Linked DNA regions of Xenopus tropicalis. The protein of the gene in region 2 purifies or fractionates together with the protein of the main gene of each other region. This does not show direct contact. Links are inferred from orthologs where the notes say so. Each region holds a gene or a part of one and is shown on either strand. Other genes may lie near its edges.

The links.
Region 1: the proteins of pip4k2a (region 2) and ube2h purify together in Homo sapiens (affinity purification with mass spectrometry; 3 studies listed by BioGRID and IntAct, with this or other methods). This does not show direct contact. The link is inferred for Xenopus tropicalis from reciprocal best matches to the Homo sapiens genes PIP4K2A and UBE2H.

What each region holds. Positions count from the first base shown.
Region 1 is NC_030679.2:86,975,756-86,980,103, reverse strand, and holds the start of ube2h (ubiquitin-conjugating enzyme E2 H), read right to left. Parts: upstream 2,802-4,348; 5' UTR 2,556-2,801; coding exon 2,503-2,555; intron 1-2,502. UniProt on the Homo sapiens protein: Accepts ubiquitin from the E1 complex and catalyzes its covalent attachment to other proteins. E2 ubiquitin conjugating enzyme that transfers ubiquitin to MAEA, a core component of the CTLH E3 ubiquitin-protein ligase complex.
Region 2 is NC_030682.2:26,689,116-26,692,320, reverse strand, and holds the end of pip4k2a (phosphatidylinositol 5-phosphate 4-kinase type-2 alpha), read right to left. Parts: intron 3,127-3,205; coding exon 3,023-3,126; intron 1,641-3,022; coding exon 1,560-1,640; 3' UTR 796-1,559; downstream 1-795. UniProt on the Homo sapiens protein: Catalyzes the phosphorylation of phosphatidylinositol 5-phosphate (PtdIns5P) on the fourth hydroxyl of the myo-inositol ring, to form phosphatidylinositol 4,5-bisphosphate (PtdIns(4,5)P2). Has both ATP- and GTP-dependent kinase activities.

The DNA.
Region 1 (4,348 bases), on a different chromosome or scaffold from region 2:
ACCAAAACACAGTGTTATGACTGATATGCTGTTTTGGAATTGTATACAATAGGTTACATTCCCCACCCCCCATTTTTATTATTAGTTCTCAAACATGTATAATTGAGCTGGTTAACTCTAAGACAGCCCAATAAAGGATGAAAGCAAAAGGTCAGGGTGAACGTAAGGTAAATGCAAGATTGTTTTGTACTAGGAAAAATATATTTTTAACCACACATAAAGACAAACTGAGAGCAATAAAAAAGCGTACACCTATATAAATGGCCTGTTACACAGATTGCCAGTATAGTTTCAGTGGTACACTTAAATGCAGTGCCACTTGTGGCCCTCTAGATTTTGTGGGCCTCTGGGTTTACAGAACAGGCATTGGGCTTTCTGACATTCCTACCAAACTTTAGTTACAGTAATAACAAAGAAGCAGAGTGGATGCGGGGTGCCCATTAACCTGCCCTCTGCTCCCACCCACCCCTCAAACAACACTCCCTTTCACTACTCATGTCTGAGCGTTAATGTCATAACCACACAACAAAATCCCCTAGTGTCCCACCCTACACAAGGAAATTACATGGGCTAGGAGGGAACTTATGGGACAAAAACAAACGCAAAAAACAGGGAGGAGAAGAAAAACAGAAGAGCTCAGCTGTGCTATGAAGGCTTTCCCCTAACAACCCCCTTAATACCACTGGAACCCAACAGTCCGATCAGTTGCTAGGACATTTATACATTTTACTTGTTAACCTATATATTGTTATGGGACCTAAAACACACAACATAACATTGTCAGCATGAGGGTTACTTTAACTGTATCTAAATAATTGTTAAATACTTATAGGCTGAAAGAAATGTATTCCTGTAAAAAAAAAAAATCTGTCTCCAGGGTTTTAGCCAGTTAACCCCTTGTATGCTAAAGGCCTGCAATGCAGACCTGACATCTCCAATCAGGAGATCAGGATTGTAGGTGTTCCTTTAATGCAGCTATACAAAACCTGTCAGATTAAAACAGACACAACAGATGATGTTCCCAACTTTATAAAATACATACATTACCCTGCCTTTAAGTCACCTGCGCTCAGACCAAAGTATTTAATGTCCTGCAACAAATAAATGCTGGTAAAAACCATGGCATTCACTTCAATTAGGGCCATTGTAGCAAATGTTAAAAAGCTGCTGGCTGCCTGTGCCTACCATTCTCTATTTATGGAAGCATAAGGCAGCATGAAACCTTTAAGACTGCAGTCTTTTGTCTGTTCTCTTACAATAAAAACGACAAGTAGAAAAAGATTGCAAAGATCCCTTTGTTTTGACTAGGCACATAAACAGGACTGGGGTACACAAATGCTTGCGTAAGCTCTTACTTAGTACAGAGATGTTCCATGAACAATGCCCCCATGAAAATTATTTGCAGTCTAATGAAAAACCCACTTGTTTGTTAAAGCTCAATAGGTGCAAAGAAACAGAATGATTATTGAGTACAGGCTTGCCCAAAATGCATCCCACAGCCTGTGTTATTCTACTACATATTCCAGTATCACCATAAAATCCCCAAACAGCCTAAGGCTGTCAGTGGGTGCTAGGAGTTAGGATTTAACTAAACAGGTTAAGCATTCCTGTTGTAAATAACCTTGACCAGTGACAGGGGGGAATTGGTAATTTGTTGTTACACAAATAAAACAAAACGAAAAATAACATCATCTTTTCCCTGTCTAACTAGACACAAACAACAAAATCCTCCTTGTCTGCACCCCCTCCTCCCTGTGTGAGGCCTTAACTGTACTGACACTGAAAATACACACACGTATCTATATACCTAAATTCCTACAGGCCTATTAGAGTTGTACAAAACAAACTACACAATGATACTTTAGTTATATGTGAACTACTGAGTTACAAATACAATACACCTTTTCTTAATTCATTTATCATTATTTTATTATATAAAAAAAAAAAACACAGCTGACCAGTGGCCCTTCAGCTGAAACTCATATAGCCCAACAGGCTTCAACTGCCACCAGCTCAAGAACAGCTGGAGGGCCTGTGGGTTAGGAAAGACATGCCTGCCAACAGATCAATAACAAAGGATTTAATCAAAATAGATCATTCTCATCAAAGACAGTATATCTTAGTAGCAACTGTGCCTATATGTGGCATTCTTTGTTTCAGAGAAATATAGGGATGCTTTTCCTTATGTAAGTCACTTTATTTTATGTTTCTGTTAATAGCTGATGTACAAAGATCTCTTTATACAAGGATATGCCCCTTTACTACCTTCTAGGCAAGGAACACGGATAAGCACAGTAATGGCACTACACAATTAAGATACTTACATGTATCTAGAAGGGGCAGAATAGTGTGAACATTGTTTTGCCCCATTTCAATGCTCCATATCCATCCAAAACATGGGCCCCAGAGTTACATACTGAGTGTACCTGACAAATGACTGTCAAGCACCCACTTATAGTATATGTAACCTATACCCCAATAATTTGTCGTCAGGAAGGATACAGTTTAACTACATCGGTGTCCATCCGCCTCTTTCCCGGGCTGGGAGATGACATGTCTGCAGCTCCCCCCCGGGGGACTCTTCGGCAGCAAAGCACTCAGGACTGTAAGCAATTGACTGGGAGAACTGACGGCGGATTCGCCTCCCTCCTCCGGGCCTTGTTTGTCCGGTTGCCCTTAATAAATACGGCGGGGGCCTAACCTAGATTAGCCTTAGGTTGCCCCCCAAACCCAGCTTCCAGACACTGTCGCCGCCTTCTTATACCGGAGAGTGCCTTAGCATAAAAAGTAGTATAACCGACTAAACGTCTCAGTCACGTGACCTCACAGATAGTGACGCGCCGGCCGCGGAGGAAGACTTAAAAAACAGAAAAGAGAGGTGGAGCCACACCGCAGAAGGCGGAGCAATCGACATGCGGTCTAAGCCTCGCTGTGGGTTGTTGAAACCACCCGACCGCTATATAAGGGCCGGTAATCAGATTGTCAATCTTTTATTTAGCCGCGCCCACTGGCGAATATATACGGTTTAGTGCATAGACTTCTGGGAGTTGTAGTCTTTATGTCTCCCTAATATGATATTAGACATACGTGAGATAGGGAGACTAAGTATAGGTTGCGAGTGAAAGGGATACTGGATTTTTTTTTTCTTTTTTGGGAGGGGGCGAGGGAGGATGTCCAAAAATGTACACAGTACAAGTGAAGTTTGACGTGTCACAGCAATAGTAATGTCTGAGCTTTAGCTGTTGCCAACCTGCTCGGTGCTTTTATGCTGACATCCTGCAACGTAGATGAAGGGCTGTGATTGACAAATAACATGTGTAACGCTGCATATGGTGTAACGTTCTAGAAACATGAATTGCTGGGAGTATCGGTTTTCTTTGTTAGTAGTATTGGGGGCTGGTAATAACTGTGTCTGCTTGTAATGCTTTGTATGCGCTGGAGCTATCTATCTATGTATATATATATATATATATATACACACACACACACACACACACACACACACACATATATTTATATATATCTCCAGTGCGCACACAGCATTACAAGTAGACATGGTTCCATGGTGAGCATTTATTTGCAAAAATGTAAAATATTTTAATATAACATTATTTATTCATTTTGACAGTTTTACAAATGTGCACTCATATTAACTCACAAGGATCTTTCTCCCTGTTTTGCACCCCTCAGTGGTAGTAAAACAGCCCAGTATTCCCCTCCCTGTACTTTGTGGCTGATTTAATGTTAAGCCCCACCCCTGAAAACACACCTGAATATCAGGCACCCAAAATATAAACCTAATGGGTTTGCATCACCGAACATGTATTAAAACGATTAAGTCTTTATATTCTTAATGGATGTTGGTTTATAATTATGTAGGGACCCATAGGGTTAAGCTCCCCTATGGCTTTAATTCCCTACCTCTTCCTGATTTGCACTGTTACTGGGCAAACCCTTTGTATCAGTTTACAGTTATACCTTATACTTTATTGATCTATGTGGCTGTTCACACCCCTTGCAGTCTGATATAGTGTCTAGCAAGGAGGTGTGGCTTCCTCTTTGGCTGCCTTCTGATTCTCCAGGAACAGCTCCACTTAGCCTGGGATCAGAAATAGGCCCCAGTGAAGCAAAGCCATTTGCCCCAGGGTCAACATGCACTCTGGTGAAGTTGGGCATAGGGCCCTGTGAATGAGGACTAGAAAGAATAGCAGAAACTGTAATAGCACTCTCTAGGAGAGTGAGGTAGTTAAATCTAGATAGCAAGGGCAGTTCAGGCCCCAACTAGAAGGACAGCTGGAAGTACCCTTCCATCCGGCAATGTTGCCTTAGCTTAGGGCCACGGATAAGT
Region 2 (3,205 bases):
CAGGAAATTCCTCTCTTTGGGGCGAGAAAGAGCCATAAAATCCCTTGCCACTGACCTTAATTTAAATCACTGCTGGTGTGCGAGTAAAATGGCATAACCACAACAGCTGATGAACATATTCACAGCGATTTAACTTCAAGGCAAAAGCAATGTATTCTCACCATTTTTGTTGCCCAAGGGGGAACGTGATTTTCCATGGTCAACAAAGCTTTGTTTTCCATTACCTTTTGGGCCCTGCCCTGAAGTCCATGAAGCGCCCATTAATACCTACCCATTTACATTACTTGAAATCACCACATGTAAAACACATTACGTGTGGTGATTCTTGTTAATCACCCAAAAATGCAAAAGGCGGCCTTGTTAAGTGATTACTGAGGATCGACATATGTAACGTATTTTACTTGAATCATTTATAAGTCATGAGAACAGGCAGGTAATGTCAGGCACTTTATCATCCGCATGAGAGGAGATTTCCCACCAGACAATGAAGCGCCCTGTGTGACAGTGCCCATAAGATGGAGCAACACTATTAACTACAGACTAAGGACAAATCCCAGCGACTCACAAGGGCAGATAAAGGGAGCTGCAGTTTGACAGCACGTTTAGGGCCAAGGACTGGACACTGGAAAGTGAAACAGGCTGGAAACCCGGCTTTGGATGCTGCAAAGCAATTAAACCAATCATTACTAAAATATTGCCCACAACTGTGTAAGTCAGCGAGCAGAGCTCTTTCCTGTGTTGATAAACTACACTGTACGGCAACCTGTTTAAGACAAAAAGTTATCCGAGTCATAGTGAAGTGCAGATTTTTTTGTGGCAGACAAGAACATGACATAGAGGCAGAAATATTATGGCATCATTGATTCCAAGGTGCAGATATAAACTGGAGCCTTTTTGGGTGCCAAAGCCGGGGCAACATGTTACTTCTTTGGCACTCAAAGAGCATTGAGCGCTGGGGGACTGTGACTCTTGTCCATGATCCTTGTCAGCATCCCGAGTCCTGCAATGAACAGCGTCATATGATACATACTGCCTATGTCCCGCTGACAGCAACGGTTTGCAAAAATAAAAACATAGCGCTTCTCAGGTGATTTTCATGAATACTGCCTTGCCCCTCTAAGTTAAAAAAAAAAACCAAATAATAAAATAAAAATAAACTGATCTACAGTTTACGTCTTGACGTCGCTTCAATCCTTTTCCAGCCAGAAGGGCAGAGAAAGCATGCAGGCTGCTTCGTCTGACCCCACCACTCTGCTCTCCATTTTTTTTGCTGGCAATAGTATCTGTGCATTATTTCCGCATAGCTGTCAAAGCTTTCCTTCTTTATTGAGACACAAAAGAGTTAGAAAGGAAAAAAAAAAATCTAGGGCTATGCCAGGCAGCGAAGTCTGTGATCCCTAGGCGTACCATCTTTGCCAGAAGATGTCATATTACAAGGGGCGGAGGAGTGATCCCCGCAGGGGAAGCATTAAGTAACAGCAAGTTCTGTTGGCCTCTCTATCCATGCTGTATCCATAGCTGTCCTCTCTTCTATGAGCTTCCATTGCCGGCAGGTGAGGCTACGTCAGAATATTATTAATAAAGTCCAAGAAACGCTTAGAATACTGCTCCGGGTTAACGGTGGAAATTTCTGCACCAGCCTGTAGAAGGGAAAGAGAGAGAAAATAGAGTTAACACAGTGGCATTGTTACTTGCACCCAAGTATCAGCCTGGCACCAATGTGGCAGCTCTGGGGGATAAAGGATTCCCATTGCCTTTTATACGAGGGTGGGTCAGCATAGTATGAGCGCAATTACACATGCCAAATTGCATAGTCCTCCAAGAGCAACGTAAAATGGCTGACTGTCACATCTGGCTGAGCAGCAACATAATGCCCAACTGTCAATTACAGCTTCCCTGGCACTAAGACCTAGCACTAATAGCAAGTAGGAAAATGTCAGTAATGCTAAAATAAAAGGCTGGATTGGTGACTGTTATGGGATCAGACCGTGCAGTTTGCTGTAGCTGCCTGCCAAGATGTAATAAAAAGATGGTGCTTTGAATTTTTAGGGCACTGGCACACTGGTTGATTTTAGGATTTTCGCGCCCAAACAAGCAGACAAGCCTACCCCCAATGTAACCTAAAAGTATGGCCTGGAAATTATGGGGCTAGTGCTTATATAATGCCCACAATCAAACTGCCTGCCCCAGGGAAATACAATATGTTATCAGCACTCATAATAGCCAGACAGCAGATACACTTGTTTTTAGTATGTTATACAAAGTTCTGTTCTTTGCAACTTTTCAATTGGTTTTAATTTTTTCATAGTTTTTGAATTTTTTTGCCTTCCTCTTCTGACTCTTTCCAGCTTCTTAATGGGGGTCACTGACCCCAGCAGTCAAAAAACTATACCTCTGTGAGGCTACAATTTTCTTGTTATTGTTACATATTATTATTTATCTTCTTTATTTAGACCCTGGTCTATTCATAACTCTGTCTTCTCTTTCAAACCACTTGCTAGGTTAAATTGGGCCATAGCAATCATCAGCTGCTGAAATTTCAAACTTTAGAGCTGCAGAACAAAAACCTATACAATTCAGAAACTGCAAACAAACCGCAACAAATGAAGACCAACTGCAAATTATCTCAGAAAAGCAATTGCTACATCATATTAAATAAATAAAAACCTTGGCAGCCATAAGCAACACAAGCAAATAGAACAAAAGCACCTGGGGGTCACAGCTAGGAGGCCTCACCTCCCACCTTTCTTCATGTAATAAATAGCAAAAAAGCTCAAACTGGATGAAGACGCAGCACTGCATTTTTTATATGTTCCCCAACTTCATTTTCCTACTCACCTGGGTTTCTGCATGACTTCTGGTCTTGAGACTATAGACTGGCCATGCAATCTGCCCCCTCATGCAGCATGGAAGGAAACCCCACCTGGAATCTACTGCCCACTACCCTTTACCCAGCCTATGGCCCTGCCCCATTATATACTTATTTTAGTTTCCACCACCAGATGGGGAATCATATACTTACACCATGTTTAACTGTTTTCGCTGCATGAGCTGCTTTCTTTTTTGCATCATAGTGTGTTAATATGTCAATAATAGCCATGAAATAAACTTCTTTCCTTGGGGCATCTGTGAACAGACAAGGGAGAGTCAGACACAATCACTAATAATAAGAATAGATAAATAATAAGAAGAATGGCAGCTGTGA